6 linked regions of the Oryzias latipes genome follow. The protein of the gene in region 3 interacts with the protein of the main gene of each other region in a pairwise test. Links are inferred from orthologs where the notes say so. Each region holds a gene or a part of one and is shown on either strand. Other genes may lie near its edges.

Region 1 (5,010 bases), on a different chromosome or scaffold from region 3:
CCTGTTCTGTCTGTGGTGTCACCATTTTGGCATGTGCGTAATGATCTTCTGATAGCGAGTTTCATGGCTGTTATTACAGCTAACAGCCTGCTCGCTGCTAAAGGTCGTGTTTACAACTTTACTGAGCTCTCAGATATCATCAGCTCTGAGGCCTGCAGCTCCGTGTCTGCAGACGCTGTAAAACCGAGAGGATCCCTGTGTACCTGAGTGGTCCTATAAAAAACGGAACCACAGAGAGCAGATCTGTTTCCTCTGGGATTTATCCACGGTCCTCAGATTCAACACAACATGGCATCCTGTGCAGTTACTTTCCCTCTTCAGTTAGACCTCCTCCAGGCGAGAGCTGACTGTCATCAGCCAATGAGCTTCACATAAATTCATTTGATTATTCTGATAGATTTCAATTATGAAGAAACTTGTGAAGTCTTCAAACCTTACTTCTAGAGGAACACATGGACAGACAGAATTATGATTCTCAGTCTAGAGATGGCTGCGGTGCAGAGGTAGAGCGGTTGACCTCTCATTGGAATATCACAGGTTCGGTTCTCGCCTACCCCACCCATGTGTCCAAGTGTTCCTGGGCAAGACACTGAACCCAGCATTGCCAGTGTTCGGCAGTGTAGTGTAAATCAGTGTTGTAAATTTGTGTGGGTGGATGCATACGCCATTTACCAATTAGAGGGACGCCACTTACCAATAGACGAAAAAACTAAGAGTCTCAATCTAGATCAGGGATGGGCAACTCAAGGTCTCGAGGGCCAGTGTATCTGCATAATTTCAAGATATCCGATCCCCTACTTATGACTGGTACCTGGTGTGTCCAGCCAATTGGAACATGCAAGAGCAAGGTTTGTTGGAAAACGTGCAGAAATGCGGCCCTCAAGGCCTGGAGTTGCCCTTCCCTGATCTAGATTGTCGAGAGACACAGACGAACCCACGGACCCATGGGCTACAGAACTATAAGTCTGAATCTACATGAATCTGAACCAACAGAAGTATGAGTCTCAATCTAGACTTGAGTTTGGGATTCTAGGTTCTACATGAACCCTCAAACCAACACAACGATGAGTCTTAATCCATAGGAAAATGTGAACCAACATTTTCTTATAAACCATCAAACTGTCTTTCCAGATGACGTTGATGTGTTTTATGTTTATGGATCCAAACTTTCTTATAAGTTTCTTGAGTCTTGTTTTAATGTTTTTAACCGAATGTCAAACCAAAGAACCGGTCTCCTGATTTTGGCACTTTTTCATCAAACAATGAATTTGTTGTAAAACTATCAGCAGGGCAAGTTCTCCTAGTTCGTACTGGCAGGAGGTTGGACAGAGAGAGTCGGCACAGTCTCCACCTTGAATTTAGTTGCAGTATTTTCTGAAATAGATCAGGTGTATCCAGTTTTCCTGTCAGGTGCTGTATAGTCAGCCAACATAAATCCAAAGGTTAACAAAAGACAAACATGGCAGGATTTTGAGGAAACACAAACAATTGTTCAGTGTCTGTGTCAGAGGTTCAATCGTATGAGCAGGTCTGTGCACTAAGTAGAACAGGCATTGAGTCTATAATGGAATTACATTTCTGTTTTTCTGCAGTTTGTTTATGCTGGACTTTAATCCATCTGAGAGATTACAGCTGCTGGGGATTAAAAGTGAGCAGTTTCATCTGCATCCGTCACCTCACCTTGGATTTTTCTACCATGAAGACCTCTGTGGAGAGGCGGGTGTCGGTTTAGCGTCGATGCTGCTGCAGAGTCGTTGGTTGTTTGCTGAAAGATCACTTTCCTGCTCCTCATGTTGATGTACCCTTGAGCTAGTCAATTATGTCCTAATGGTGGTAAATGGAGCGTGCATGAAATGAGCCGAAGAAGGAGAATTCATGATGGTGGCTCCAGAGTTATCATCATGGTATCTGCAGATTGTGGTGATTATCTCAGCAGCCAGTCACATGTTCACTGAGAATGCTGAGCTGCCCTCGGGCTGTGATCCAAGTCTGTAAACTGCATCAAAAACTAAGCCCCTCCCCCTTTCTGCAGAATCTGATGGCCAAAGCGCTGTACGACAACGTGCCGGAGTCCCCTGAGGAGCTGGCCTTCCGGAAGGGGGACATCTTGACTGTCATTGAGCAGAACACAGGGGGACTTGAGGGTTGGTGGCTCTGCTCCCTGCACGGCCGCCAGGGCATTGCCCCCGGAAACCGCCTGAAGCTACTCATCGGACCCATGTTTGAGGCCCCGTCGTCAGCCACTCCGTCTCCCCCTCAGGGCCACCAGCAGAGAGGTGGGGCAGGGGCCCAGGGGCTCTACCAGGTCCCACCAGAGCAGCAAAATGTCTACCAGGTCCCACAAGAGCAGCAGAGTGTCTACCAGGTCCCACCGCGAGGGGGTCTCTGCGGCGAGAACACACCCAACAAGGTAGGACAGAACCTAAAATTCTTTTGCTTTTTTTGCTGAAACTTGGAATTTTTTTTGCATAAAGTGGGCAAACAAACATAGTGGGCGTAGCCTCCCTCTCTGCATTGGCCATAAAGGGAGGTGGAGTTGTGACCAGGCAGAAGCTGTGGGCCAACACTCACCACAGCGGCGTTTCCGGTGGTGGTGCGTTGGCGCCCTGTGCGCTGCAGAGCGAGTCTGAGCTGCAGAGAGGCAGCAAATGTGAGCGGCAGCTGTGGAAAAGCAAACAGCAGATCTGTTTAGTTTGGTGAAGCAGAGCCCCCTCTCTCTACTCAGGCTTCTTCAATCCTGAGAACCTTGCAAGGAAACTCCAATTTCCCAGAGTTCCTGTGTAAAGATGTCACTTTCCTTAAAGAATTTAAATGTTAAACTGGTTCAAGCTTTTGATCTATGAATGCATCATGCTAGACTCCTGGTTTGAGTCCTTCGAACGTCTCTGGTTCATGCAAGCAGACTTTCCACTGAACCAAAGAGAGACATTTTTGTGTCTTTGGAGGACACAAAAAACAACGACAGTGTGAATCTGAAGAATCAGGAGTCATAGAAAAGTTTAAAAATCTCTACTGTGTAATCTCTACTGGTGTAGCGAGATGCTGCAGGCTCTTATTTGTATGCTGGTCAGAGGACAAGTCGCTTTTTTTGTATTTTCTTCCTGTTTAGAGCTTGCTTTGAGGCAATAGTGTTGTCAAATTTTACAGGAAACTGGCTCAGATGTAAATGAATAAAAAGACTAACATTAAATTTTGGCTACAAAGTAAATAATATGTGGAATTTTCCAATCCAGATGTTTATCTGCCTCACCTGGTGCAGAAAAAATGATTTTTTTTTTGCTATTCCCTGAGTCAGCTCTAAAACTAATTATGGAGGCATGATGATCTATTGATGCTGACATCATCATGCTGTCAGCAGGTGTGTTTCCTGCTGATCAGCCTTCAGGAGATGAATGAAGTCACGTGGTAACCCGTACACCTAATGTCCAAACAGCCTTTCGTCACGGCGGTAGCAGGGCCAATCATCTACGTACTGAAGTTGTAAAAAGGGAGGTGCATGACAAACTTTCCATTTTCTGGCAGGAGCGCCTCATCTTGATTGCCCAAGATGCAACATTCAAAGAGCATGAGCTCATCTGATCTCCAGGAAGGAAATGATGGTTCTTTTTTCCATCCAGACATTTCTGACTTTTCTGAGCTTCTCTGCTCACTGTTTTTTAAGTTTCTTGATTTGATTTCTGAGTCCCATTACCGGACCCACAGTGCTCCCTCCCTCCCTCCCTCCCTCCCTCCCTCCCTCCCTCCCTCCCTCCCTCAAAAACTGGTTTCTTTTGTGACGTGATGCTCTTGGGTCCTCCAGGTCACACGTTGGCCCCCGCCTGCTTATTTTTCTTCCTGGCAGAGGTTCTAGCACACAGAGGTATCTGAGGTTTGGCACTCGCCGCCTCTCAGCTTGTTGGGTTTGATGTAACAGCCCCCCCCCCTCTGAGCTCCACTCTCTGGATGCACAGAGAGATACTCCTCCCCTTTTGGAGAGATGGGGATGGGGGGGGGGTCTGCAGCTTTGAAAGGTGTGTAATTCTAGGCTATCTGGCCACCCTTCTTTCTTTTTTTAACTGAGGCGATGACAATGACAGCCGGTCCTGTCTGCTCCCTCCAGACCCCCCCCTCTCTGACCCCTGGTCTCCTACCTCTGCTCCTTGTTTGGTCTCCTCCTCAAAGATCGGTTTGCTTATTGGTGCCATAAAGACTTTCTGCTTTAACAAAAGCTCAAGAGATAGAGGAAGTGCTGATAAGCATCCAGGGAGCGCATGGGAGGGGGGGGGGTGACAAAAGTCCGCCTCGAGGCAGGAAACCTGGATGGCTTCCTTTGACGCTGTTCTTATTGGCGTGCATCTCCTCACTCATATGTGTCCAGGCTGCCATCATCTGGTTTGTTGGTGGGTGAGAGCTGCTCCAAGTGCCCACTGGGAAGTTTAGAGAGTGATGAAGGATAATAAGAATCACTCATAGACCTTAGAAGTCCTATGCTAGTCTGTGATTTTGAACCTAAAATCCAATCAGAACACCAGAAATGCTCCTGTTGCTCCATGATTATCCTAGTTTCCATGGCAACATCACGCGAGGGGAGAGGTATGGATTTTGTGGCCAGAGGAGGGTTTGCTGAGAGGTGGTCACATACAGGGTTTTCAGGCGGGTGAACACCCCCCAAGGACCTCATCTCGGAGCTTAAGAGATAGTCTGGCTCGTCTGCAGGCGCTCAAACGCTGCTTTGATCACAGAGGATCATCGTTAAGCTGACGTCTATTTGGATTTGAAAGCCCGTCCGTGAAGTAGAGATGGTGTCGTCCTCGTGGGATTCAGGACTTGATTAGTTCTTTAATGGGCTGGTGGGGTTTTTAAGTTTGGGGAGGGGGAGGGCATTGTCTCTAATAGAGGCTCTCTTGCGTTGATGCAGCAGAGCGAAAGAAACAGTTTAAAGACAAGAAGTCCAGACTTTACGTAAAACACACGTGTGATGGTTTAGGGCAGAAAGCAGTTCAGACTCTGTGACCTGATGGCGGCATGCTG
Region 2 (5,559 bases), on a different chromosome or scaffold from region 3:
CGGTTACACCCACGAGCTGCAGACGGGTTGGTGCCGGCGCCGCCCGAGCCAGACCGAGGACGTCCTGACGGTGCATTCCTACAACGTGACCACCGGGGAGTGGCTCCAGCTCAAGGAGAACACGTCCAAGTCGGGTCTGAACCTGACCTGCGCGCTGCACAACGACGGCATCTACATGATGAGCCGGGATGTGAGCCCGCTCACCAGTTTGGAGCACCGCGTCTTCCTCAAGTACAACATTTTCTCAGACGCCTGGGAGGCCTTCAGGCGCTTTCCTGCTCTCGGGCAGAACACGCTGCTGTGCTCGCTTTACCTCCCCAATGTGCTATGACTGTTGGAGGGGGGGGGGGGGGCGGAGACCTGAGCTCTAACACAGGATTGGAGGAGACCAAGTCAACCTATGTGCCTCAAAACTATCGGAGCCAAAAAAAAAAAGAAGTGCCTCTGATCTGTTAACACAGTTATAAGAATATAAATGCACCCTCTGAAAACCGTTTCCCATCATGCAGTTCCATCTTTGCAGGAACAAGCTTCATATTTCTTCATGCAGAGTTTTAAATGTGGTCTCTCTCAGCATTTTCCTGATGTTTACACTACAGACACAGACGAGTGCGTCGGTCCAGATTTCACCTCAAACCTTTGAGTGGCTGCATTTGTGGTCGTGCACACAGCGGACAGCCGTGGCCTTGGTTTGATGCCGCCAAACGGGGCACTGTGTGCTCGCTGCACGGTTTCAGAAACACTAGACGGCACTCTTCCATGAACTGAAAGATGCACGTGCCTTCTGCTGCCTCACTCTAAACAACTCAAAAAAAGAATTATTACAATTGACTAAATCTGTTCTGTTTTTCTTTTCTTTTCTTTTTTTTAAACTTTTTTTTAAATGATGTACTTGTTTTGGGTTTTTGTTTCCAGGAAAAAGAGTTAAGTCTTTGGAAACTATGACAAAATAAAGATTTCTTTGTATGTCAAGTTCCTGAGTGGTTTCATTAACTGATTCTAAAGTCTTAAATGAAAAAAGGAAAAAATGTAATCTGATAATCTATGATTCTGTGATCCGAGTAAACCTGTCCTTGCATAAATAAACAGCACCATTTATTAATTATATAAAATGTGAGTTAGTGTCATTGAAACGGAAATTTTTTTTGTTAACTTTGTTGAAGCCTTGTTGACTTAAATCAAGTAATGAAAACTTCCTTTTACAAAAAATGTTCATATTTTCAGTGTTTTGTTTTATGTTTGTCAAATTCTTTCGGAAAGCTTTGAAACATTAAACAAAATAAAAACGATGATCAATAAGCTGAATGATGCGAATCACGGAAGTTTTCAAAAATCTTTTTACCTAATAAGTAGTAAAATATGTGTAAAAACAGGGAGAGATGTTTTTCCAAATTTAGAAGTAAATATTAGAGATTAACATAAATATTTCCTAAAACGTATTTGTTGATTTCATTTCATTTATTTCTCCATGATCAAATGGGAATTTCTGGAACAGCCTTCATGCTGAAACATGAAAAAGCTTAGATGAGGCAACCACTAGGGGGCAGCACACACCTTTCAATGGCTCTCATCTCTGTAGGCTCTTAACCTTTGCAAGGACTTCCTCTGTAGATGAATATATTTCTAAAACCAGTCTTCAAATGGATGTGTTCTTATTTAGATCTGACATTTTCCTGCGGATCAGAAAGCCTCCCACCCTGCAGACGGCATCCTTCCTCCCACCAAAGCATGTCGTAACGTGGAGGTCAACAAGGATGAGATATTTATAGCTCGGTGTGGTATAGATGCATGCATGAAGGAAGCTGAACTTCACAGTGACAGCCACAGAAAAAATCTATGTTTGCCATCATTAGTGCAGATTGATCCTCCGTGTGAGGTCAGATGGCGGTGATCTCCGCCACACCGCCACAGCACTGAGGTGTCAGGCTTCAGAAACTGACGGAAACATCAGAGGCTGTTCGCATCTTCATGAGGAACCGTGGTCTTCCTCCGTCCAGCGAGGGGAGCATGTGTTTGTCGAGCGTGTGACAGTAAGAGGCGGGCTCAGAGGGGAGGGAGAAGAAAGAAAAAAAGCACAGAAGTGATAGAGAGACGGAGAGATCCAAGGACAGGCGGCACTGAGGGGAGGGGAGAGAACAGCCTCCGTCAAACGCTGATTTCAGAGAGGAAGATGCACGTCTCCGTGAGAGGAGCACCCGAGGCAGGTCGATAGCCGTGGAGACCCAGAGAGAAGCATCTGACACAGGAGCTGCCGGTTGACTCTGCTGTCAGGAACCTCACACCGCCGAGAGGACAGAACCGTACGACCCAGAACCATGAGCGAGGCCAAGAAAGGTGAGCTGGCCATCCGAGACAAAGCCATCCTGCACCAGCAGAGGCGTCTCAAACAGGCGACCCAGTTCACGCACAAGGACTCGGCTGACCTCCTGCCCCTGGATGGGCTGAAAAGACTCGGGACATCTAAAGACTTGGTGAGTTGATGCTCAGTGATGACGGGGCTTCAGCGTTGAAGAGTCCGAGCAGAAATTGTGCAGTGGTCTGCAGAACAGGAGAGCGTATAGGCTGTAATTTCTACCTTCTATCCGAGCGTTCACGCCACAGTTCTCAAAAGTGTTCACTACTTCTTCTCTGTTTCAACTAAAAGGGTTTGAATCAGACAAGGCTGGATCATTGTACCTTCATCAAAATTCGGTGCCTGTTAGACTTTCAACTTTGTGGATGCAGACTCTGATGCTACTTTAACACTGGGGTACTGCTTTCAATGAAAAGTATATATATATATATATATATATATATATATATATATATATATATATATATATGTATATATATATATGTATGCACATATATATATATGCACATACATGCACCTTTCGGCACATGTGTTCGTTTTTTTAGCTCAAAACGCGCCACCATTGAACTGTCGAAAGTTAAACCAGTTGAACTTTGACCTGGCTTTCGTGGTGAAGTATGAATAGTGTCTTTTTGAAAACATCGAAGTGCAAACCGTTTGAAAAATGGAGGACAAAGATGTAATAGTTGCGCTTTGTGCCCGGAGGGTTTCCACAGAATTTTACTGAAAGGGGTTGCTTAGACGCACATTTCCGATGCCGGTGTGAACGTAGCTTTAGAAAAGGCTGTTGAAATCCATCCCTGCTGTGGTGTTTTGTGTTAATTTTTTGTGAAAAGCTTCATCGCTGTGTTTGCACTAATTTTTCAAACTTAAATGAATATGATCATCAAAAAATTGTATTAGAATAACAAAAAGCTGAAAATATGCAAATATGACAAAAGATTATTCCTGCCTCTCAATCTGTCAAACAAAAAAAAAAGTAACGAGCACCTTAATATATCTTTGATAAATGATAGTTATAATGTAACCACTTTAATAGACGCTGTTAAACAAAGTGAAGCTTAATGAAAACCAAGACCTGGAACCTCCTTTCAGGATTGATTGATGGATCACAATGACCCGGAGAACGAATCCAAGAGGTCACAAAAGAGGACTCAGTTTAAGTTAGTTTGTGATTCATCAGTCAGAGAGAGACTTTTGGACAAAAATGGAATCACGGGGGTTCCAGCAGAAAGACTTTATGCTTCACTTTAGTAAAATAATGTGAATTAATTTACGCAAAACAGAAATTATCCACATCAAGAGCTGGCGTATGCAAAATTGATACTAAAGGAGGTTTATTTATGGTAGAAAATGTGGGTATTTACAGTCTGGCAGACGCCTGCGCATCCCAGTGATATTTGCAGAGCTCTGCCAGAGCTGCTTCACGGTGCCAGAGTGACTGCTGAGGTTCTCAAAGAGCTCAGGGGATTCTGGGAAGCAGCCGTCAACCCAGAAACCTGTCAGAGGAGGGAAAACGGATGGTTGTCAGAGGGAGTCCCTCCAGATGTACAGAACTACTTCACTGTAGTTCTGTACATCTTTTCTGTTCTGTACAGAACCTTTAATGCTTCTTTCTGGAGGTTCACCACTTTATGTTAACTCAATTTATGTAAGAATAGAATAGGATAGAACTTTGTCATTGTCACAGGTACAATGATATCAAAAAGTGTTTCCTGGTCTGTATCATACCTTAAACAACCCATTGTAAACATTTATAACTTAAAAATAACAAATAAAAATACATTAAATTGCATTATCCAGTAACTCAAAATAGGAAATGAAAATTAATTTACTGTTAAATTTAAGTGCATTTATGTAAAAAAAAAAAAGAGGATTTAATTGTAAATTAAGAAAACATCCACCGTCTGAGGTAAAACCAAAAATGAAATGTCTCTTGCTTCCTATCCCTTAGCAAAAAGTAAAGGGATAAAAAGTGAAAAACAAAAAACAGATTGGCCTCTTATCTTGATTTTTTTAATTTTACACCTAAATGATTCTAAATGATCAAACAAATGTAATTATTTCCACTGAACAGCTCCAGTAAATGCAAATGGCGTTTTCCAAATAATGATTAAATTATTTAGGCTCAAGCCTGCTGTTCTGGAAAATTACTCACTAGTTCTATGCATATGTCCATGTTCTCTCACTTTGGGCTTTATTTCCATTAGTCAGTGTCAGAATGAGGCTGCCTCCTCCCAGATTTAACCCTTGAACAGCAGAGATGCTGAGACACCTAAATAACACACGTTCTTTAACATACTATAACTCTGATTATTTATGCGATCAACACGAACAGAGAAAAGCAGCTTTTCCTATCAGCTTTGCACCGATATGCAGCACTTTATGCCCAACTGTCTCCATGTGTGGGTACGGGCTGACGGCGAGTAAAATATGGGCAACATGACACGAGGTTTTTAGATCATAGATGACTGTGAATTCGCAGAGCGACAATGTTCATGCACATTTTTTCTATGGGCGCGGTGCAGGCGTCAGGTCATAGCGAACACTAAAGGCCGTGTCACACATCCTTTACAAACATTTTGTGAATATTGCACGGATGACAATGAACGTACGTGAATATACGTGGAACATGACAAAAATTTTGTTTGTTTACGTGAAATTTTCACAGATGTATCATGAATGACCACGTTAAAACCACGGAAGAAGTACGAACAAACTTCGCAAAGGACACGTAAGTCAACGTAGAACATATTATTGCGCTGTTTGTATGCAATCCGTGAGTGATTTGTGCGTCAGTTACATTTTTTAAAGCGATATGTGCGCCACATACGCAATCTAAAAGTTAAACATTGGTGAAATGCCCCTTAGACAAACGTGGAACAGTCGTGGAAACCCACAAATTTGTGCATGCGTCTTGCTAAAAGATTTACGTAATAATTGCTTATAAACTAGTTACAATATACATAAACTGCGTAATTCTCAGCCAACCAGGAATCCTGAATGGCTCAAAATGTCAGCCGACACCCTTGATGGACATCCGCACACATGGACAAAAGACGATTGCAAGAAACACTTCTGTATCACGGAGAAATCACAAAAGACCGAAATATCATGCGTGGAAAATTAACAATATGTAAGTAGTGGCGGCGTGACATGGCCTTAAAAAAGGTTAACTTCCAGCTCCAAACAAATTAAGTCCATTC
Region 3 (5,464 bases):
GGCGGAGGAGAAGCTAGATAGATGGAGGTTTGCCCTGGAAAGGAGAGGATGGAAGGTTAGCCACAGAAAGACGGAGTACCTGTGCATAAATGAGAGGGACCCAAGAGAAAGAGTGAGGTTATAGGAAGAAGAGATAAAGAAGGAGATGGAGCATTTTAAGCATCCAGAGTCAACAGTACAGAGTAATGGACAGTGTGGAAAAGAAGTGAAGAAGCGAGTGCAGCCAGGTTGGAATGGGTGGGAAAAAGTACCAGGTGTAATGTGTGATAGTATGAGGTTCAATTGGACCAAAGACATAGACAGTGGGCACAAAAACATGTTTTTGGCACAAATGGAACCTCATATTTTTCTGGCAACGTGCGTTTGCAGGAATATCAATAAAATGTATTTAAAGAAAACGTGTTTGTCATGGTTAACGCTAGCGCCGGCTTTAATAAACCTTTTTTTTGTTTCGTTCCGTGGTAGTACAGGAAACAATTAACCGACCGTACAAAGGACTTTTCTGACGACGAAAGACAAATGCAAAGTTTTAAACATAACGCATGAACCAAAGGTCAATGAACTCGTTCAGTAGACATAGACAAGGGACCAAAGACATAGACAGTGGACACAAAAACATATTTTTGGCACAAATGGAACCTCATATGATAGAAGAGTTTCAGCTCAAATCAAAGGAAAGTGGCACTGAGGAAAAGACAGGAAAAGGGCTGGAGGTTGCAGAAATGAAGATGCTGAGGTTTTTCTTGGGAGTGAACAGGATGGATTAGATAAGGAATGAGTACATCTGAGGGACAGCACATGTTAAAGGTTTTAGAGATCAAGTCGAGAGACCTAACTGAGATGGTTTGGACCATAGTGTCCAGAAGAGAGGCAGTGAGTAAGTATATTGATGGAAGGATGATGAGTCTAGAGCTGCCAGGCAAGAGGTGGATGCAGTGAACGAAAACGTGACAGTTTTTGGTGTTAGAGTAGAGGATGCAGAAGACAGGGTTAGAGGGAGGAAGGTGATTTGCTGTGGCGACCCCTGAAGGGAAAAGTCCAAAAGGAAAGAAAATGATTAGAACATTATGCCATATGATCACGTGTCTTTGCAAAATTCAAAGGGGGGTTTCAATACATTGAAGTGAAGAAGCAATAGCTTGATGTCTTGATCCTGTTTTGGTGCCTTCCCGTGTGTTGCCTGCTGTGATGGCATTTGGTCGTTTTTATGTTATAGTAAAATAAACCTTCTGTGCCTCAATCCAAATGGTATTTCCCAATATCAATATAATCAATTTATTTCATTTTGAAAAAAGTTTATGATGGTATATTGATTCAGTTACCAAATTGCCTCAGACAGATTGATCTGGTTGGATTGTAGAAAAATAAATGGATTCATCAATTCAACTATTTACAAATACGGCCTCCTTCACTTGATTACAATTTGGCTAATGCAGGACTGAAGGGCTTCATACAACACCTAAATAAATTAATAAATAAAATACATAAACAAAACATGGATAAAGAACAAACGTGTATTAACACACGTTGAATCACAAACATGGCAACAAGAGTGTCTCTCTAACAATTAAATTAAAAAAATGTTTTTAAATGACTGGTTTTGCAGATCTTTAATATATAAAGATCTGCATATATATATATATAATATTTGTATAATTTCTTTTTAAATAATTTGTGTGTTGTCTTAAATGTTGATGGTGTGTCATTTTCTCTATTTTCCCTCACTGTTCAAATCAGAACACAGAGTATCTGAAACTATCTCGAAATTGTTCAGCTGATAACAGTTTTATACTTTGTTCTTTAAATAGTTTCCCCCTGCAGTTGTTACACGAGATATTGCTGGTAGCGTTGATTTTTCTGCTCAAATCGTTGGCTTAAAAAATAACGAAAGACATCCATGTGCAGGATCCTTTGTTTATTTTTTAGTTTGTGAGGAAGTAATCCTAAAAACAAACTTAAATTTGATAGTTCAGTAAACATCCGCTCATATAAAGGAGCATTTCTTTAATCATAAGATTTTAAGGCGGTCGGTAGTTTTGAGCAAAGTGTCAAAGTGTTTTTCTAAAAGAAAACTTTACACCCTGACGCTGATCTCATATCTAATGAAGAGTCGGCACGTTCCCCCTACAGGCTGTCTCGGCGGTCGCAGCCAGTCGGCGGAGGAGCACAGGAAGGCACGAGCTCATCTCTCGCGAGGAACGACGCCGTTATCGGAATCTCTAGAAACAACACGAGAATTCGTCATTCACACGGTAATATAAGCCCACTCTTACACCGTGCAATTGACGTGTGTGAGCAATGGTCTACGAATCCAAGTCAAAATCATCTTTCATTTTATTTTAATTTTTTACGTTTTAGCAAATACTTCGTTGCGTTTCAGCGGCCTGTAGGCCTAACTAGCATGCTAACGACTAAGCTAGCTGAAATAGCGCTCTGTTTGCGTTGCTTAGCTCTCAAATCGGATTGTGCTAACTTTAGCCATTGCCAGTACATCACTGCTCTGTGCTAATCGAAACTTGTTATAATGCACAGCTGTGATCTCATGCAGTTGTAATAAACTGTACTTTTCCTGAAAAACAATAATCAACATCTATCAGGACCTATGTTCCTTCAATTGTTTAGTTCATTAATTTAAATCTCCTCCCATTTACTGATACTGATAGCATACAGTTAAATAACTGCATCGTTACTAGCAAGGCAAAGATGAAATATATTTAGTGGAATGAAAGGTAGAAGGCTTGAACAAAGTCTGGCTTTATCATTATTAAGATAAACCACCAGTTTACAAATAGTAAGGCATTTCTGGTCGTTTTTTTTAAACTATCACATCTTAATTGCTTTGAAACAAATTCATACATTGACATGTGTATGAATGTGAAAGTATTTCTCAAAGTGCATCAACTAATGTCATAAAATTGCCAGTCTGATCTACTTTTGCCCCAATCCATATACAAAAAAAGTACATTTGATTAAATTATACATCCAAATTAGTATTTGCTAAAAGTGACGTAAACAAATCTATTTGTATTTTGATTTAATTAAAAAATTAAATGGGGAGACTTGAGTTTAACTGTTATGCCATTTAGCCACAGCTTGTAAAGAAAAATACAGCAATGCCAAGCACACATGCTTTGTTTAGAAGGTGGTCATTAGCCTTAGTGATAATTGTTTTACATAAACATAAAATTGTGTTTTAATTAAATTTTTACTTTAAAATAACCATTTATTGGAAAAACAAACAATCTTCCAATACTGTCATTTACATTGGACTTTAATTCATATACACTGTTTTAAAATTAGTTGAATCAGGAAAATAAAATACTTTTAACTACTCTCGCCTTTGCAGGCTTTTAATTATGACACAGATTTATGGTATTGGGGAAACATTTTAGATATAAAGGACTTGGGAAAACAAAACAAAACAAGAATTATAAGTATTTTGACCATAAATAATGCGTAAATAGGTTAAAAGAAACGAGTACCACAATAAAAATGTTCCTAAACGTGAAAACACTTCAGCAAATATTAACTATTGTATTTATTTATGAAATTTGGGGAAGTTTAAATGTCCACTCATTTTTTGGACTTATCATTTAAAAACAGTAATTTTTATCAAGAACCGTTTCCAAAACTATGTTTCATGACTATATGACACATGAAAAGCAGATTTTGAATTTTAGCTGCAGTTTAGTCACATGAAGCAGAAAGTGTGCCATTCTATGTTTAACTTGCTAGTGATGAACATGTAATAAATCCTCAAACTTAAATGCTTTAAAAATGTCATAGAACTCATTATAATTGCATACTCAACACATGCATTGACTTCAAAGCATTTATGTACAACTGTTGTCAAACACAATTTCATAACTGGTATTAAGCTAATAGGATTTGCTTGAAAACCAGTTAAATTTGATTTGTTTCCTCAATTATGGAGTTTGCAATATGTGTGGAAAAAGGCCCAATATTAAATGCATTGGCAATAATCTCTGCAAGTATTTGATTTGGCCCAATAAGGTAATCAAGCTTTTTTCAGGCTGTGTAGTTATTAGTCAAAAGCGCTAAGGCTCAAAATCATACAATAAAGACCTTGTCCAGTTTGGTGTGGATGCACAAAGCCACTCTTGATGCTCTGGAATGTACAGGTTTCAATCGGTGATACTTTTTCTTAAAGTTCAGTCCTACAGGAAACAAAAACAGTGGCTTACAAGGGTCGCTTCCTGTTATCCTTTCCAACAAGCCTGTTTGAAATGGTATGGTTGCCAGGAGCACACATTCCCTCTATGAAAGGAATTTTTGCAAGTTACAATTGTGGAAAGCTCTGAAGATTTCTTTAACAAAAGACAAATAATGCCCCACTTTTTGAAAAATTAAACACAAGAATTTATCGTTGTGTAAATGAGACCAGAGTCCACTTCAATGAATGTAGTCTTAAAGTTCTGTTTATTTTTTAAAGTCAAATGCAAAGATCTGTTTGTTAACTGCATTTTGTTTTAAACAGCAAAAACGGAGTCTTAAGGAAGTGAAAAAGACCCTTCTTTCCTGAAAAATGTGTCTTATTTTCTGTCTTTCCATCCATTTTCTTAACCTACTCTATCTTTTTTGGGGTCTCGGGGCTCCCGGAGCCTAAACTGGGTCATTTTGGGCAAGGGTAGGGTACACCCTGCAGGGCCACACAATTACACACACACCGAGTCGCACCTTGGGATGTGACCGATGAAGCGCGTCTATGGATGAAGGTCGATTGCCTGGAGAAAATCCACACATGCACAGGGAAAACATGCAAACTCTTCACAGAAAGGACCCAGTTTGGATTTGAACCAGAGCCTTCTCATTGAGAGGTGAAGGCAGCAACCTATTCTTTCTTGTCTTGCAAGAAAAAGTTTTTCTAGTAGCAAATGAAACTTTGTTTAAGAAAGCATGCCCAAGTGACATCTAAAGAACATTTTTGAAATTTTAAGTAGTTTTGATGAACTTTATAGTGGACTGTGGTCTGAGGCACAGCAGCGCATTTAGAATAGATTAAAGAAAAAAAGAAGTTGTTCAAGTCAGTCAATGAACGGCAGTCAATGAACTGCAGTTAAATTGCCAAACCCCGCCCCCTAATAAAAAGCAAAACTAAAAAACAAGTGGAAGTTTCTCTAAAATGACAGGGGAGGTAATGTTCATGCACACAAGTCATAAAAACATTTTCTTCTGAATGTACATTTATAACTTCTTAATAATCATTTTGGTTTTTATAAAAAAATTACCATTTTCTTCTTCATGTGTTTCTTGGTTTTAACATATATAAACATCTTGAGGTAAAAGATGACTGTTATTTTATGTCGCGTAAAGGCGCGTGGCAGCTCATTTTTCCTCCCCATGTCTCTTTTCAGTTATGAATGATGTCTGAACAAGAGTTAGATGACATCGTGCAAATAACAGTGGAGGACTTTACACACCAAGACCGCACTGGTGAGTTTTG
Region 4 (5,010 bases), on a different chromosome or scaffold from region 3:
CCTTGACTGTAGACTGGGGAGGGGCCAGAGACGGCTGAAAACGCTTCCACAGAGCATCCTCAACGTGTTTCTAAAAGGAATGAGATCTCTGTCAATGATTGAAGAGGATGGATTTAAAGAAATGATTGGGCTGCTGCACCCTGGATACCACCTAAGTCACTTTTGCAAACTAACGGAGGAAAATTAATTATAGAATTTTTCACTGTTTACTAATTGCAATACAGTAAAACACATGTTCATAAAAATATTTTTTGCTCACTATTTCTATGGGAAGTTTAGACAATGATTTAGTGCAAGGATCAGGAACCCTATAGCTTGTGAGCCAATTATGTCTTTTTAGTGCTAGCATAAAGCTTATATAGGACCTTAAACTTTTTATATTTAATAAGTTGAAATCTAAATTCGTGAACTATACATGTAAAATTTCCATTTCTGTGAATGCATCATATGCTGAGCATTAGCAGTATACCATACATGACGCGAGGCTCCATGGACTGAGTACCAGCACTGTCACATTTTGTAAAAAAAAAAGAAATTGCACATTATTTTATGTGAACAGTAATCGCTGACCAATCGGCCACTGAAATAATCGTTAGTGACAGCCGTACTATGAATGAAGCCTAAAGTTAATACACAGTCTAAATATATATACAAATCCTGTGTAGAAAAAACTGCTACTTTAATAAATGTACTTTATTTTACTTTATCCAAGTAAAATAGTTGTTTGGAAATTTAGGGGCTCATATTTTATTTTGTTCTCAGGTTGAATGAATTATTTTCTCTTGAATTCAATTAAAAAATAAAAACTTAAACAGTCATATCTAAAAGGCCAGAATTCGACAATCAAATAAAGCCTTTTTAACCATTCGTTTCCATGGTTACCTTGCTGCTTGTTCTCACAGCAGGAGCCCCTCTGACCAAAGGCAATATTTCTTTAGACCCCTTTTCCAAACCTCTTACCAACATATGAGATTAGCACATTTTAGTGGGTACATGCAGATAAGAGCACATTTCTCATAGCACACAACAGTATACTTTTAAATGTGGTCCTATCCACGCAGACAATCTCTCATAGGTTTAATGAGAGCCAGATGAGAGGCTCATGGAACAAACCCGTTCAGATAACTGACCTCATTTCATTCAAACATCTCATCTCTGCTTTGGGCCTTAAGTCCGGCTGCTTTTGCTGGATTACCGTGCAGCTGGACGGAGAAGAGAAAGACGAGCAGGCCATGGGAGCGCCGCGAGGAAGAACGAAAGAATGGAGGGATGAATGCACAAAAATTAGTGGAGAGGAATGGAAGCGAAAAGAAATCCAAAGAAGTGACTTTTGAGATCAATACTGTGAAGAAATGCAACCCAAAGGTTGAGAAAGAAATTCAAAGATAAAATTATGGATGGGGAATGGAGAGTTATTTGTTTCAGAACAAAAGAAAAGGGCATTGGTGGTCTTATCTTTTAAGTGGGACAATAACAGATCAATGACAAAGCACAGGAATGAATTGAAACCCGTACTATCCTCTGCATGTTTAACACCCAGTACAGCAAGGCCAAAGTAAATCAGAAATCACACATGTTAAGAGAAAAAGAACAGACAAAACTCAAGAAAAGTTCAGTCTGAAGTCTGCTTTTGGCTGCAGTCTCCTCCTTTGGGAACTTTATTACACCCTCTTTTGAATCCATCTCCTAGTTGTTAGAATCCAGAGACAAAGGGTCGTGGCCTGGATGTAGTTGGGGAAACAGAGGCCAGAGTGGGGTCGAGGCAGTGTCACAAGGGGATCTCCTCAGATTAAGCCTTTGAGCACTTTACAAGGTAGATGAAAGCACCAAGAAAGTCTTTTATTTTGAAAAAAAAAAAAACCTGATGAATGCGTTTAGAACATCAGAAAAACAGGAGTGATGGCTTAGAGCTGCACTTCACTGTGTGATTTATTTAATACTCTCATTTGTTTAATAAGTCAGTAACATGTTTCACACTGTCACCCTTTTCCTCTCTTTTTTGCTTGTTACGTTTCTTTGTAGAAGTTTTATCTACTCTTAATTGCGTTTCATTTGACAATGGACAAAAATAAGTATTTTACTGCTTTTTAAACCTTGACTTAAGGCAAAGACTTAAACAAGGAATCTTTATAAAGTGTTGTATATCTAAAGATCCCCTCAAAGAATCCTTTGAATCCTCCACTCCAATCCAACCAAAAATAAATCCTCCCACTTGACTTTTGTTTGTCTTCAAACAACTTTTGAATAAACCCATGACTTGTGCTCAGCAAAACATTACCCACATTCAAAGACTTACTTAAAAGCCAAAAACAAACTAAAGTCACTACCGCTTAAACACCATTAAGGGGGTTGACAGGTACGAGTGCTGCATGTTTTGGGTTGTCCAGACCCATGCAGGCATGTGGACAGGAGCGGCTTTGTCTTCAGGGGTGCGCAGATGTGTCTCGGTGTTCCCTTGAAGCTCGTGTGCCCACCTCATAAGACATTGCGTAACCCTTGTGCTATCCTAGACACTTTAACATTGGGAGTTGGGTCATCTAGACCCACTAGACAGTGCGCTATACCTTTTTTCTTCAATGATTTGTGATCTTCACTGGTTTCCATGGATTACATGAAATCTTTCCACCTTTGTCATGGTAGGGAGAACACATCAATGTAAGGTGGGGTCATCTAAGATAGCACAAGGGTTAAATGGAACGTGTGATTGTCGTGTGTGTGGTGAGTGTATTGTGACATGTTTGTAAGGATGGTGTAAGTCACCTGCACTTATGACGTACGGGGGAAGCTGTTGTACGGTGTCCTTAAGCCACACTCGACTGGACAGTTAGGACCGCACACTGGCTCCTTGCTGACCACATGCAAGTGCTGGACGCATGAGGTGTGATCTGCACGTGATGTGACAGTAAGATGCCCACACAAAACTACGCTCCGATTGTCTGATTTCTTCATTTCTAACAGCCAGGTTGCACACATGGAACGTGCACTTATCACTAAAATGGGCCTAATGAGCTCCCTGCACAGCGTGTAGGATTCAGGTGTGTGTGTGTGTGTGTGTGGTCAAATAAAGAAAAATCCATACAATGTGCCATACTGTACAGCTGTTGTTTCAATGTTTGGAACAACGTGTGCTTGTACATTTTTGCTCTGTGGATTCACTGAGCGGTCCAAGACCTTGCAGTTTTCTACAGCCCACCTGTGTGCCCTTTACAGATTTGCCCATTTTTTACCTGCAGACACCCCATATCCACCTGTAAGGGCAGTTGTGACAATGGCACTATAGGGATGCATATGTTCTGGGATTCTGTCCATCAATCAACAGAATTGATTGACATAAAGTTCTGCAATGGTGACTTTCGCAAAATGTAATTGTTGATGGAAGATTTACATATTTTCTTACATTTATATATTCTCCAGCTGTAATTTCTTTTGATGGGATAATTTTGACACACACAAAAAAAACAGACATTTTTTTGCACAAATAGGGGTAGGCCTTTGTTTAGCATTAAAACATAAACTTGAGCTAAATTTTTGCTTTTCTATGGGTAGATTTACATCAAACTGGAATATACATATATGTGTGTGAGAAAAATTCATATTTTAGTCAAACAGTAGAAGTAGGGATATGAATGTACAATCACAAAAGTAAAGAAGGGGGCTTATTAAATTTTAAAATGCTAAGCTGTTAGTTAAACAAGTATTATTATCCATTCATTTTATTTTTTATTTTTTCGCTTTCCCCCTGTAATACCCTCTCTTTTATTACATGCACCTGATATTTGTGTTCAACATCTTATTTAGACACAAATGTATTTATGCACTCTTTAGAGGCTACTGCTGTTAAGAAACTTAAGAGGACAAACAAAAAACAAAAATAAAAGACAGACACTCAGACAGAGGTGGACTACCTGGTGAGGTTCGAATGCTGAGGCTGCGCGTGAAGTCATCTTTGAGCGCATAGACAACAGCCGCCATCTCCTCTTTCAATTCTTCAAGGTCGATGATATCTTCCACCAAAGCAGATTTAATGTTCACTTTAGCCGAGGGACCCTTTGCCTTATCTTTGAAAATAAAGGAAAGGTAAAAGAAAATGAACATCAATCAGAGTTTCTTGCTAACTGAAGTATGCAAGTGCAACCTGTTTCTAGATGACGGACCTTTTTTGGTGCCGTAGAACCTGCATGCAGCAGCAGGGAGATGGACGGTGCCAGTGCAGGCTGAAGGTCTGACATTGACCACGGCGGTGACCACGAGACGAGATCGGGAGATCAGGGAGCGGCACAGGAGAGGCTGCAGCAGCCTCAGATGATTCAACGCCATGTCTGTAAAAACAACATCACAGATATGATTGTCTGAGCTGGCATCTGACTCAAAACTGTACGGCTGTAAAGCTCCGAGATTGCTCGTCCTTTTTACTGCAACGGTAATGTTAGGGTTGGGATGTGAGGGGCTCTAAGCTAGTGGGAGAGCTTGCAAACAGATGGATGATGGGAAGTAGGGGTATGCTTATTTTATGCCAACAGTCCCACCACAACTTTGAGACGAATTTCTAATGAACTCCTGCTGCTCTGCAGAAACTGTCCTCGAAAATGACAAATATCTTTACATAAAAACAGCCTAAACACCATTAAAAGGCCAATGGGAGCACATCTGGGGGATGATCGGAGAAGGAATTTAAATACTAAAAACACTCCCTTTATTGCCTTGGCTCTATACCTGGGAACAGTAACACAACACATGCGGTCTGCAGCAGACCAATATTTAATGAGAATATTGCTGGTGGGAGGAAAGAAGGCCTTGACAAGAAAGTGGTTACAACCTGATGCTCCAACAGTAGATGATTGGTATAAAACAATACATGACATTTATGTTATGGAAAGACTGACTTTTGCAATAAAGATGCAAACAGATAAAGGTTTGAGATGGTGGGCAAAATGGGTCAAATATATTGGACCTCTTAGACCAGACCTTCTTTAATTCTAACAAAAAAAAATACTTCTCTATTACAAGATA
Region 5 (5,010 bases), on a different chromosome or scaffold from region 3:
CTCCTGCCGCTCTGCAGAAACTATGTCCTAACAAGATTAAAATACCACTGGAAACAATTTTACAATAGAGCAAAAGATGATTGGCGTAGATTTTTAAGGCACAGTCCCCATGCTTGGTCTAACTGCTGTCTGTTCAAACTGTCTGTTCCTCTTCCCTGCTGAGGTTAAGTTCGAGGAACTTCTAACACAACCTTTTATTTCTGTTCCTCAGATGAACATCCACGGGAAAATCCAAGAGGTGCTGGCGGAGACTGCAAGGGTGGATCCCGGCTCTGGACGTTTGTCGGAGGAGGATTTCAGACGTGCTCTACAGCGCAGAGGCATAATAGATGATGTGATGAAAGACCTCCGTTTCAGCCAGGTGTTCTCGCCTCTCACTGACAGATCACATGTTAGAAACGAAGAGAGCTGTCTCTATTCAGAAAAGACTGAGGAACTCTATCACTAACTGCCTGCCTTTGTAGGAAAAAGCAACAAAAACAGCATCAGGATTTCCATCTAAGCCTTTCAGTCATTATGGTGACAAAGAAATGACCGAGCTGAGACAGAGTAAGAGAAATTATGATGCGGTGCACAGTGTCGTGTTTGTGTCATACTTGTTTTAATTTTTCTTACTTCTTGCAAATCAACGTAGACCCATCAAGGCAGTACCTGCATCTCCAAGTTCTTGGTGGGAAGGCCTTTCTGGAGCACCTGCAGGAACCACAGCCGTTACCTGGTCAGGTGTCTTCTACGTTTACACTCTACCTACATTTCCGCGACCAGAGGTTTGGATCTAAGCCTGTGCCCTGTACCTGTGAACCAGACATGAGGGAAAACTTCCTCCTGGAACTCTGCAGGGACAATGCAGGTAGGAGGAAAGTAACTGTTTAGAGGTTAGTGAAGATGAGCTTGAACTTAGGTTCCAGGCTTAAAAAATACATCTCCTCCTTGAACCTAATCATGACTTCTTTTCTTGTTAAAGATGGAGGTAAAGTGATGGATGCAGCCTCTATGCTGTCTATATGCGACCCTATCCACTTTGTCCTGATCAAGACGGACATTTCTGGTGAGACGACGCTGGTGTCGTCCTATTTCCTGGATTGGAGGCCAGTTCTCAGCTCAACAAACAGCAAGACTTGTTTTGCTGTGGAGTTAATGGGAGTTGGTAAGCCACCCTGATTGTTATGGTCGGATAAGCAACCCCTACTTTTAAATAATATATTACCTTTGGCACACTAAAGAATGAATTTATTTTTAAATGAGTTAATTTTGTAGGTCATTTTCCTACCTGGAAGTAAAACGTCTCGATCTCTGCGGCTCCGCCTTTCTGTCCTTGTGGGTGCCGCCCATTTCATGACATCATCCTCGGCAGCATGTCTGCCTTTCACCCACAAAAACAAACAACATCTGAACTTTTGCAAAGATGGATGTTCATATTGTGGAGCAGGGCTGCTCATTCCTGGTCCTTTAGCTCTACCACCCTGTCTGTTTTCCAGATCTCCAAGCTCTGCTAGCTGCTGAATGAGGGTGTGTGTGTTAGCGTGGGGGTGGGTTGGCACCGCAGACTCTTCCTGGAAGGGGCTGTTCCTCACTTTGTAATGCTGCAATGTGAGGGTCCACCCATTTTTGTGGATTGGGAGGGGCTGGGGCTCAGAACGCAGGTTTTTAGAGGAATACTCAGAGATGTGTGAACGGATCACAATACTGCTTTGGGGTTGTTTTTTGTGAGGAATGAACATTATTATACATTTAAAAGCTTAAAAAGTTGATTCTGCTGGATACAGACCCTTTAAACCAGGGTTTCTCAAAGTTTTTGTAGCGGAGGGCCAAATGAAGAACTCTGCATTAGACTGGGGGCCAATTTTGGTTTAAAAAAATGGATAAACAGAAAAGGTTGTTTTTAATAACTTGGATGACCAAGTGTCATTGTACAGTTAACCAGGCCCAGGCTGTGCAGAGACTAATGCACGGAGCATCAGTCAAAACACTCTCAGCAAAGCGGGTTAAAGTTCTGCAGAACCTCCCAGCAATAGATTGTAGTCCAGCGACCTGATGGATCAGAGTGATGTGTACAACGCTCTGAAACAAGGCCAACGTCATGGCGATGGTGTGCGAGAAAGCTGAGCTGCAGCTGCAGAGCAGACTGTCATGGAAATAAAGCATCTTTGCCACATGAAAGCATCTCCTTCATCTGTCATGCTGCTGCATCATCATCATAACACTTTATTGATGTTTTTCCCCTTTATTCTTGAAGCACCGTTCAGGCTCCTAAACCATTGAAAAGTACTGGAGAAGCTACATTTACCAATATTGGAAATAAACATCACTTTATTTCGTCAATCATACTTTTAGAACCTTATTAGTTAAGGCACATTCATTCTTTTTTTTTTCTTATACTGAAATATATTTTTTTGTGGAAATCAGACAAAGTATACTGTTCCTTTTCTATATTTTAACTTACCAAAACAAAAGCAGTGTGAATTTGAGATACAGTTGCAGTGCTTAACATTGTGATCATTAAATAAAATGGATTTTTACCATTTCATCACTATGGAAGACATTAATATTCAGGTAGTTTTTTCTAAGTGATACCCCCAAAAAAAATAAAAATAAAAAAGAAGTGTTCTGGTAGAACGTCGGGATACGTATAGTATGATCAGACTCTTGGCAATACACATCCGTAGATTATAGCACCAGTCAAATGCATACGTCTGCCTTTTTATGGATGTTTTAAAGTGACATTTTTCTTGTATTTATATTTGGATTTTGAACCAGAGATGCTTAAACACGCGGTAAAAAGAAACCTTAAAAGGTGGAGGAGGGGATCTTTCTTCAAGTAGATTCCAAAAGTAAAACAAGTTTTTTTTTTGTCTTATAAACGCTTATGCTGTACTAATAATTTCTTGAACCACAGGAAGTGAATGCAAAGTGCCAGCTGGTGTTCTGACAGTCAACCTGGAGCTGTACCCTCCTCCAGCTGTGAATCTAAGTGCAGATGTCATCAGCACACAGGTCAGCAGCATTTCTGAAATCAAGTTTCTGAAACCATCCGTTGAATCACCAAACTCTGATTCTTAATGAAGGCACCCTAAAGTAACTTAGTGAAAACCCTGACGGGATAGAAACTGCTGGAAGCCAGAAGAATAAATGGAGTTTATTTAAACGACTCGCTCTCTCATTTTGTTTAATGTTTTTTTTGCCAAGTCCTGATGTAGAAGTGTTTGCTTTTTGTTGGTTTATTCTGGTGTTTCTCTTCAATAAATCAAAACAAAGGTTTAAATATCGGATATTTGTATCAACCAAAAGAAGCTGGAAGGTATTGTGTTTCTGTGACCCGTGTGTGATTGTCCTGCAGCAGTCACTGGAGAGGACGAGGACGGCAGAGAAGGACAGGCTCTTCTTGGTTTATGCTAAACAATGGTGGCGAGAGTTCCTGGAGATTCGGGCGTCTCATCAGTCCAAGCTGGTCAAAATATTTGCACAGGTTAGTTCTGAGATATTTTAAAAAAAAGATGTTATTAAAAAAAAATTACAGCTGCAATGTCATTAACTGATAATTCACTTGCTGTGATCATCAGATCATCATCAGACTTCCTTTTGTATCTGGAAACATTTTTTTGGGGAGGAGATTGGTTCAAATCATGATGCATGATTCTAGAAATTACCGATATCTGCTGCTTTTTATGTTCTGTTTGCTTCAGTTCTTTTCCAGAACGTTTAGCCCTATGCTTCTGTTGTGTGTCTGCAGGACGAGAACGGCGTAAACCGACCCGTCTGCTCTTATGTGCGTGTCCTCCGGGCTGGCCGCCTCCTGGAGAGCTCGCGCCACGCTGCCCGCTTCGTCAGCCTGCTGGCCCACGAGAGGGCTCCGATGCTTGGAGGAGGAACGGGCAAGCAGGAGCAGTGGTGCACGTTGATGGCTTTTCTGTGTCGAGGAAAGGTGGGTGTCTGCTGCTGAACATCCACAACACAGATGGTCTGACTTTCAGACGCTGTTGATGTTTTCTGGTCTGTGGCAATAGCATCAAAGTTTGTTTCCATGTTTCTTCAAACCTTTCCTTTTCTGCCTTTTTCATACATGAGCTCCCCCAACCTGTGGCTTTATCATCCTGTAACTGAGGCCAGTCTCTCACTTCATTCCAATGGGTTTCAGGTTGACTTTAGTCCAGGATATGCACAAAAGAGGCATTTGGGACCTCAATATACCTGCACTTTCTTTTGGGCTTAAACGGTAACATCAAGTTGCAGGTTTTGATGAATCTTTCCATCAGCAGGCTGATGAAGTTCAGACTCAAGTCTGCTATAAGTTCTGGGTGTTGGTAGACTTGGCCGCTGTGCAGCTCATCCTTACAGTGACCTGTTGTTTTGAGTTTTGGTTGGCTCTGAGATTCCTCAGTCTGAGTACAATCCGTTCTCTGAGAGGAACAATTGAACCAAACGGCCACCATAGCCGGTCGTCATGTGATGTCAGCAGAGAGCCGCAGATATACTTGGAGCAACAATGCAACAGCAACTCGCTGAAATGTAATTGGATGAATGCAGGCTCATTGAGACAACTTTAAACTGTTTGGGCAGTGGCAGGTCGGCCGATGATCGAAGGATCGGAAGGATCCCCGCTCCCCCCAGTCAGCTGTCGTTGTGTCTTTGGGAAAGACACTTCACCCTCCCTACCTCCAGTGTGGTTCCACTGGTGTGTGAATGTGTATAAATGTCCCGGTGATGGTCAGCGTAATGGCAGCCATGCCTCTGTCAGTCTGCCCCAGGGCAGCTGTGGCCACATCAGTAGTTACATCACCAATGAGGAGTGAATGAATAATGGACACATTGTAAGAACTTTGAGCAACTGGAAAAGTGCAGATAAATCCAATCCATTATTATTATTATTTTTTTCCAACAATCTGTTTGTCAAAAACACTTATCAGTACCATCTTAGATGTCGCCTCCTCATTAACCGCCTTGCAGCACCATGGCTCCGTAGTTCCAAAGGAAAAAGTGTTTCACCTGACATTGGGACAGAGGTTCAAAATT
Region 6 (5,452 bases), on a different chromosome or scaffold from region 3:
ATGTCATCATTTTTTGGAGGTGGAGGTGTCGTGTGCAAAGTTTGGGGAGTTTTTGAGAATGTGGCAGGGGTGACATTTTCACCAAAACATGCAGTAAGAAAGAAGAACTGTAAAAACAATCAGGTCCTTGCAGTCCAGGGCTAATTAAATGAAGACAAACTAGAACCAAAACTGTCACGATCAAAATTCAACTCAGCGACACTGAGGAAAACTAAAAAGATGAGGCAAAGAGGCAGATAAAAAATATATATATATTTTCCAATTTAAATGGAAAATTCTGTCTAAAAGCAACATTGTAACAGTGAATGTACCTTTATTGAGAGAGCGTAAAGGTGATTTAGCATGACGTGGTTGGGTTCAGGCAGCAGAGCAGGGTCACACTGAAGTGCAGAGACCAAAAAAAAACACAAAGATTATTGTTCAGAGAAACAACAGCAACATGGAAGCAGACGGAATTGACAGTAAAAGGATGAATCACTGAGAAAACGTAAAACACTGACTGATATGTTGGTGTCCTTGTTAAGAATGACTTGAAGCAGGTGAGGGGGGAGAATCGGAGGGGCTTTGAAGTGCTTTTCGGGTCTGAAGATGTACTGCTCTTGTCCGTACGGACCTGGAGGCGAGCTGGACAAGTCTGGAGACATGAAGATGTGTTCAAGGCCGAAAATGTACCAATCTATTTAGGCGAGCAGCAAGAGAACAAGATCTATCACAGGAGACGCACCTGATGTGTCCGAGCACTCCAGGGAGTCCACCTGCAGCGCGTCAAACACCTCAAAGTCAGACTTCTTCACCTGGATCAGGTTGTTGATCGTTCCCAGCTGGCTGGTTACCACCGGCTGCAAAACAGCAACGATCCTGAAGTTAATCATCTAACATGTCAAACATTAACACCTTAAAAAAAAACACAACTGCTATGACAAGCACCAAATGCTAAATGAAGAGACCAAACACACAAATTAACTTTATTTATAAAGCACTTTTCATTCTACAGTGAAACAAAGTGCTTTACAGACTTAACCCCCTGACGGCCCAATTTATTCCCAACAATTTCACTAATGCTTGTGCTTTTTAAGTTGATGCTAGATTAAGGTAAGTTTGAAGCAGAAGTTGTTTAATGAATATTTGCATGAATAAGGGGTAAAAAAAAACAATTAAAAATGAAATTATAAAACATACAGAACCATCCTGTCCAATCTGTTTTAGATGGGTTAGTTGACAAGTTTTGACCAATGCCAAGCTTAAAATCTGTTCTTACTGACTTATACTCCAAGAAAACATTTCCTATTGCTTCAACCATGTTACTTCATATTCAGTTAAGATGACTTGTTGCCAGCAAATTAGCTTGTTAACGCTTTCAGTTAATCCTTTAGGTTTTGATGTTGACTGCAACCCAGAAACCAGCAGAGCTCAAACTTTTTTCCACAAAAACTACAAGCACAGAAAAATGACTCGGGTACCTCTGAAGGATCATGAACCCACTGTCCATCCACGAAAAACTTATACTGGTGCTCTCCTTCAGGCAGGTCCAAAATGGCAACAAAGTCATTATGGCTTTGAGGAGGGAAAGAAAAAGCAAACAATATTAAAACGATGACAAAACTTCAAAACACATTCGACACCAGTATAACTGATGTAAAACCAACGGTTTACCTTTTATTCAGTGGAATCTTAGTGTTCCAGTTATTGAAAGAGCCTGCGATATAAACCTCCTTCCCCCCACCACCCCAGCGAATCACTGTGGGACGGGCCTGGGAGGCAGTTTTCACCAGGTCATCCAGATCCGGGGTGAATTCTTTATCTCCTAGCCCCTAACAGCAAACATAAATATTTATAATATGAAAGAAATGAGATTATATAGTGAAGTAGTTGGATTCCTACTTTAGACTCAGGTCCATAGGTGTTGAAGATGTTGGGATCATCTGTGCTGTCCACCATCTTGGTGCTGTGCTCCTGGTCTTTGTGGCTGCCGCTGCTGTCGGAACGATGGGCCTTGTTTCCATGCCGATCTCCAGATACCCTGTCACTTGTGTTACCCATGATGCTTCACTGCTTACTGTGCAAAATATAGGGGGGAGAAACTCTTGAAGTGGGAACTAAACCATTATTTATAACACTTTTATGACAAATGTTCATTCATGTTTGCATTGAGGATATTTATTATTCATATTTATCAGATGCTTTCTATTATTTTCTGCTTTCATAGAGGATTTTTGTCGTCTTTTCAAACAGTTTACAATGTAAGTCTTTTCTGAAAAACTTGTTTTTCACTGAGCAGATTAATGCCAAAAAACAAACTTGAAACTATTCTGTAAACACAGTTTCACTCGGTTTCTTAAGGGCATGTAAATGCATCTGGTGACAGTTTTTCCTCTCCTTATTTTTCCTTTTTCAGTTATTAATTTGAACCAAGTAAAGAGCCAGACTGACTTCAACTCCCTTGCTAAAAAAAAAGTGAACTCTGTAAAGATGATCTGATTTAAGCGAACTCTAGGATAACTTTTGTTTCATATTACTAAGAAATTACAAGAAAGTAATGTTAGGCAAAAATTGCTTAAGTACCAAAGTAAGCTTTTTAAAAAATATTGTATCATAAAACATTGATAAGATTGGTTTAAGTTAACGACATGCAACTATTCTATAATAATCATAGTAAAATGTACTTTTTACTAAAAACCTAAAAGAGAATACAACTTCTAATTGAATTTTGATCACATGATGGTGCTTGTTTTCACAAGCATCACCTTTTACGTCCCCACAGAGACACTGATCCCCCCTCCCCCTACATAGAAATGAGCAGTATAAACCTTTCACACTATAATCAAGTCCATCACTTCAAATTAGTTTACAAGCTAAGATGTCTTAATTTTAAAGGATAAAATAGTAGGAGGTTTCAGTGAACAACATAGATAAACGATCAAATTAAAAAAGAAAAAACTAAAAGCTCAGGGCACAAAAGCTTCTATTTACTACAAAGGCGCAGGTGTTTGCTGAACACTGTAGACTGGTGGGTTCACCGTGACACTGCTGGATTCATGGAACACTGATCAGCCTTGGCTTTAGTCAACAAACAGCAAATCCTATTTCGCTTTATGTCACATTGTGTGACATTCACATATGTCACACTCTGGTTTTACAGAAAATAAACTAAAATTGTGTTACTCGTGAGAGTTAAAGTTATAGCTATAAAAAACATCAAATCATCAGTTGTGATTGTTGTTTTTTTCTTCTTAGAACTAAGGATGATCCAGAGTCATATTTAAAAATAAATCAATCAAAAAACAAAACAGCCTAATGATGTGGAAAACAACGATACGTTTATCTTTAGATTATAAAGAAAATAAAAATATTCACAACAGCTAACCTACCCACGTTTAGAAGGTATTTTTAGCATCATGAACTATCAGTGAACTTCCCTGGACACAGATGGGTCCCTTCGAAAATCTGCTTTAACTACAACCGAATGACTTGCGAATCAATAAAAAGCTTAGTTCGTATGACAAAACACACTATTTGTAACCTACCGTGGTAACTGCGCAGGACGCTTTTGCTGTGCCCGCCTACCTCGCGACTGTCCTGGTGAATATTTTTAGCTGCTGGTCGCTGTTAAAGTCAGCTAGCAGCTAGCTAGCTGTCACTCTGCTTTCGAACCGGGAACTCCTTTCACTGTGTAAATAACAACTAAAACAATTTAACTAATTTGATAGAGTACTTGTTGTTGTTTTTAGTCATTTAAAAGAACCGAAAAGGGTTAGAAGCTCGGCCTATCGCTGCTGAGGCGATGATTTGTGTTGAAGAGCAGCAGGAAAGTCTGTGACACCAGCGAAGATCCTCCCCTTTTTACAACTACGGCGGTCGGTAAAGGAAAAAAAGCAGTCAGCCGCGACAAAAACAACATCCGGTAAACAAACAAACAAAAAAAAAAACATTTTTATGAAATTTTACAAATACTTAAATAAATGTAATTAATTCTTTATTTGGTGTCGTGTCTCTTCTTAATAGTGGTTGTAGTAAAATTATCCAAATAATGTACAATTTAGTCAATGTAATTTTTTTTTACAAATAAAATGAAATGAAATTAAAAGACATTTTTATACTATAAAATGTAACATATAGATGTATCAAGTATACTATTTATTTAATAAAAAAAAGATTTACCCTAATTTGCATAAAAAAATACAAATTATTGTGTTACTTAAGTCATTTAATGACGTTAATGCAATGAGCATAAGTGTTTCTCATTCATTTTAATATGTATTGTTGTCTATGTGTACTCTCGATTCAAAGTGATTAATTATTTAGGGGGGTTGTAATTACTTAATTTAATACACTGTATTTTAGGTAAAACAGCTGAGTTGACATCCCTGGCATTTTTCATTCTATCATAGCTTTTTTTCCATCAAGGTAAACAAAATGATTTAAATGACATTGTGGAAATGATAAGGTGTGATTCCCCCCCCCCTCCCCAGCAATTTGTTACTACAATATCAGCTCACCTATCACATCACAACTGCTTTGGTTGCGGGTGTTTATAAAATGTTTTAAAAAGTTTAAGTTACAACATTAACTGAGAAATTGAATTTTGTTTATTTTTTAGTGAGCGTATTTCTGTCCAGGGCTGTACTGTGGCGGTGAGTGCTCTTAGTTCACAGCGAGAAGGTCCTTGTCCAAATACCAGCTGGGACCTTTCTGTGTGGGTTTTCTCCAGGCACCCTGGCTTCATGCTAAAGTCCGAAAATATGCTTTATAGGTTAATTGGTGAGTCTAAAGTGTCCCTTAGTGTAGCTATGAGTGTGTGGCTCCATTACCGACTGGCAACCAGTCCAGGGTGTACCCCACCTTCGCCCAACAGCTGGGACAGGCTCTGGGGACTCTGTGACCCCGAAAGGGATACAGCAGGTTAAGAACATCAATGGATTTATGTCCAAACACTTTTATTCTGTCACTCATTTTTAAATTTTAACGAAAGACCATATTTCTGATGTTCATTTTTGATATTCATGAATTTATTTGCCTAAATTTTTTACATGCTTTAATATAAAAGAAAAAAAATTGATACATGACAGTATTATCCCCTGATATGTTTTTCATGATGCTATTTTCTTACTTTTATTTTTTAAAAGCCTCCTTTCCTTAAAAGACCAGACAGCCCTGATTGGTCAACATTTGCTGTAAAGCAGTTACTAATTGAGGCGTTTTCAACCTGATTCATATGGGCGAAGAAAAAAAAGGGGAAAAAATACATAAATTGTTTCTTTTAGCATTAAAGCCTTGCAGACTTAAAATCACCAAAATGGATAGTTCTGTATAATCTTTTTAACAGGACTAAACTGCAAAGCAAAGTACTTTAAATCCTTACAGCCTTAAGATATATAATTACAGGATTTCCTAAGATAATTTAAACCAAATAACTTATTTTTTTAGAATTTCATGGGGACTGTTTAATCAATAA

Evidence for each region.
Region 1: the proteins of banp (region 3) and nedd9 interact in binary tests that used the Homo sapiens proteins (3 or more experiments, as listed by UniProt). The two-hybrid records come from large-scale screens. The link is inferred for Oryzias latipes from reciprocal best matches to the Homo sapiens genes BANP and NEDD9.
Region 2: the proteins of banp (region 3) and nrip2 interact in binary tests that used the Homo sapiens proteins (3 or more experiments, as listed by UniProt). The two-hybrid records come from large-scale screens. The link is inferred for Oryzias latipes from reciprocal best matches to the Homo sapiens genes BANP and NRIP2.
Region 4: the proteins of banp (region 3) and mrrf interact in binary tests that used the Homo sapiens proteins (3 or more experiments, as listed by UniProt). The two-hybrid records come from large-scale screens. The link is inferred for Oryzias latipes from reciprocal best matches to the Homo sapiens genes BANP and MRRF.
Region 5: the proteins of banp (region 3) and cep76 interact in binary tests that used the Homo sapiens proteins (3 or more experiments, as listed by UniProt). The two-hybrid records come from large-scale screens. The link is inferred for Oryzias latipes from reciprocal best matches to the Homo sapiens genes BANP and CEP76.
Region 6: the proteins of banp (region 3) and 5'-AMP-activated protein kinase subunit beta-2 interact in binary tests that used the Homo sapiens proteins (3 or more experiments, as listed by UniProt). The link is inferred for Oryzias latipes from reciprocal best matches to the Homo sapiens genes BANP and PRKAB2.

The regions. Positions count from the first base shown.
Region 1 is NC_019869.2:19,397,019-19,402,028, reverse strand, and holds part of nedd9 (enhancer of filamentation 1), read left to right. Parts: intron 1-2,032; coding exon 2,033-2,410; intron 2,411-5,010. UniProt on the Homo sapiens protein: Scaffolding protein which plays a central coordinating role for tyrosine-kinase-based signaling related to cell adhesion. As a focal adhesion protein, plays a role in embryonic fibroblast migration.
Region 2 is NC_019881.2:20,306,605-20,312,163, reverse strand, and holds the start of nrip2 (nuclear receptor-interacting protein 2), read left to right. Parts: upstream 1-1,846; 5' UTR 1,847-2,315; coding exon 2,316-2,471; intron 2,472-5,559. Other genes in the region: klhl42 (kelch-like protein 42), read left to right, coding at 1-331. UniProt on the Homo sapiens protein: Down-regulates transcriptional activation by nuclear receptors such as NR1F2.
Region 3 is NC_019864.2:22,009,684-22,015,147, reverse strand, and holds the start of banp (protein BANP), read left to right. Parts: upstream 1-1,771; 5' UTR 1,772-2,252; intron 2,253-5,375; 5' UTR 5,376-5,381; coding exon 5,382-5,454; intron 5,455-5,464. UniProt on the Homo sapiens protein: Controls V(D)J recombination during T-cell development by repressing T-cell receptor (TCR) beta enhancer function. Binds to scaffold/matrix attachment region beta (S/MARbeta), an ATC-rich DNA sequence located upstream of the TCR beta enhancer.
Region 4 is NC_019870.2:15,211,264-15,216,273, reverse strand, and holds part of mrrf (ribosome-recycling factor, mitochondrial), read right to left. Parts: intron 4,320-5,010; 5' UTR 4,318-4,319; coding exon 4,155-4,317; intron 4,059-4,154; coding exon 3,906-4,058; intron 1-3,905. UniProt on the Homo sapiens protein: Responsible for the disassembly of ribosomes from messenger RNA at the termination of mitochondrial protein biosynthesis. Acts in collaboration with GFM2. Promotes mitochondrial ribosome recycling by dissolution of intersubunit contacts.
Region 5 is NC_019874.2:5,540,297-5,545,306, forward strand, and holds part of cep76 (centrosomal protein of 76 kDa), read left to right. Parts: intron 1-211; coding exon 212-361; intron 362-464; coding exon 465-549; intron 550-634; coding exon 635-850; intron 851-964; coding exon 965-1,147; intron 1,148-2,896; coding exon 2,897-2,994; intron 2,995-3,337; coding exon 3,338-3,466; intron 3,467-3,730; coding exon 3,731-3,922; intron 3,923-5,010. UniProt on the Homo sapiens protein: Centrosomal protein involved in regulation of centriole duplication. Required to limit centriole duplication to once per cell cycle by preventing centriole reduplication.
Region 6 is NC_019875.2:22,986,739-22,992,190, forward strand, and holds the start of 5'-AMP-activated protein kinase subunit beta-2, read right to left. Parts: upstream 3,847-5,452; 5' UTR 3,525-3,846; intron 2,057-3,524; 5' UTR 2,041-2,056; coding exon 1,882-2,040; intron 1,812-1,881; coding exon 1,654-1,811; intron 1,555-1,653; coding exon 1,461-1,554; intron 840-1,460; coding exon 725-839; intron 635-724; coding exon 501-634; intron 381-500; coding exon 312-380; intron 1-311. UniProt on the Homo sapiens protein: Non-catalytic subunit of AMP-activated protein kinase (AMPK), an energy sensor protein kinase that plays a key role in regulating cellular energy metabolism.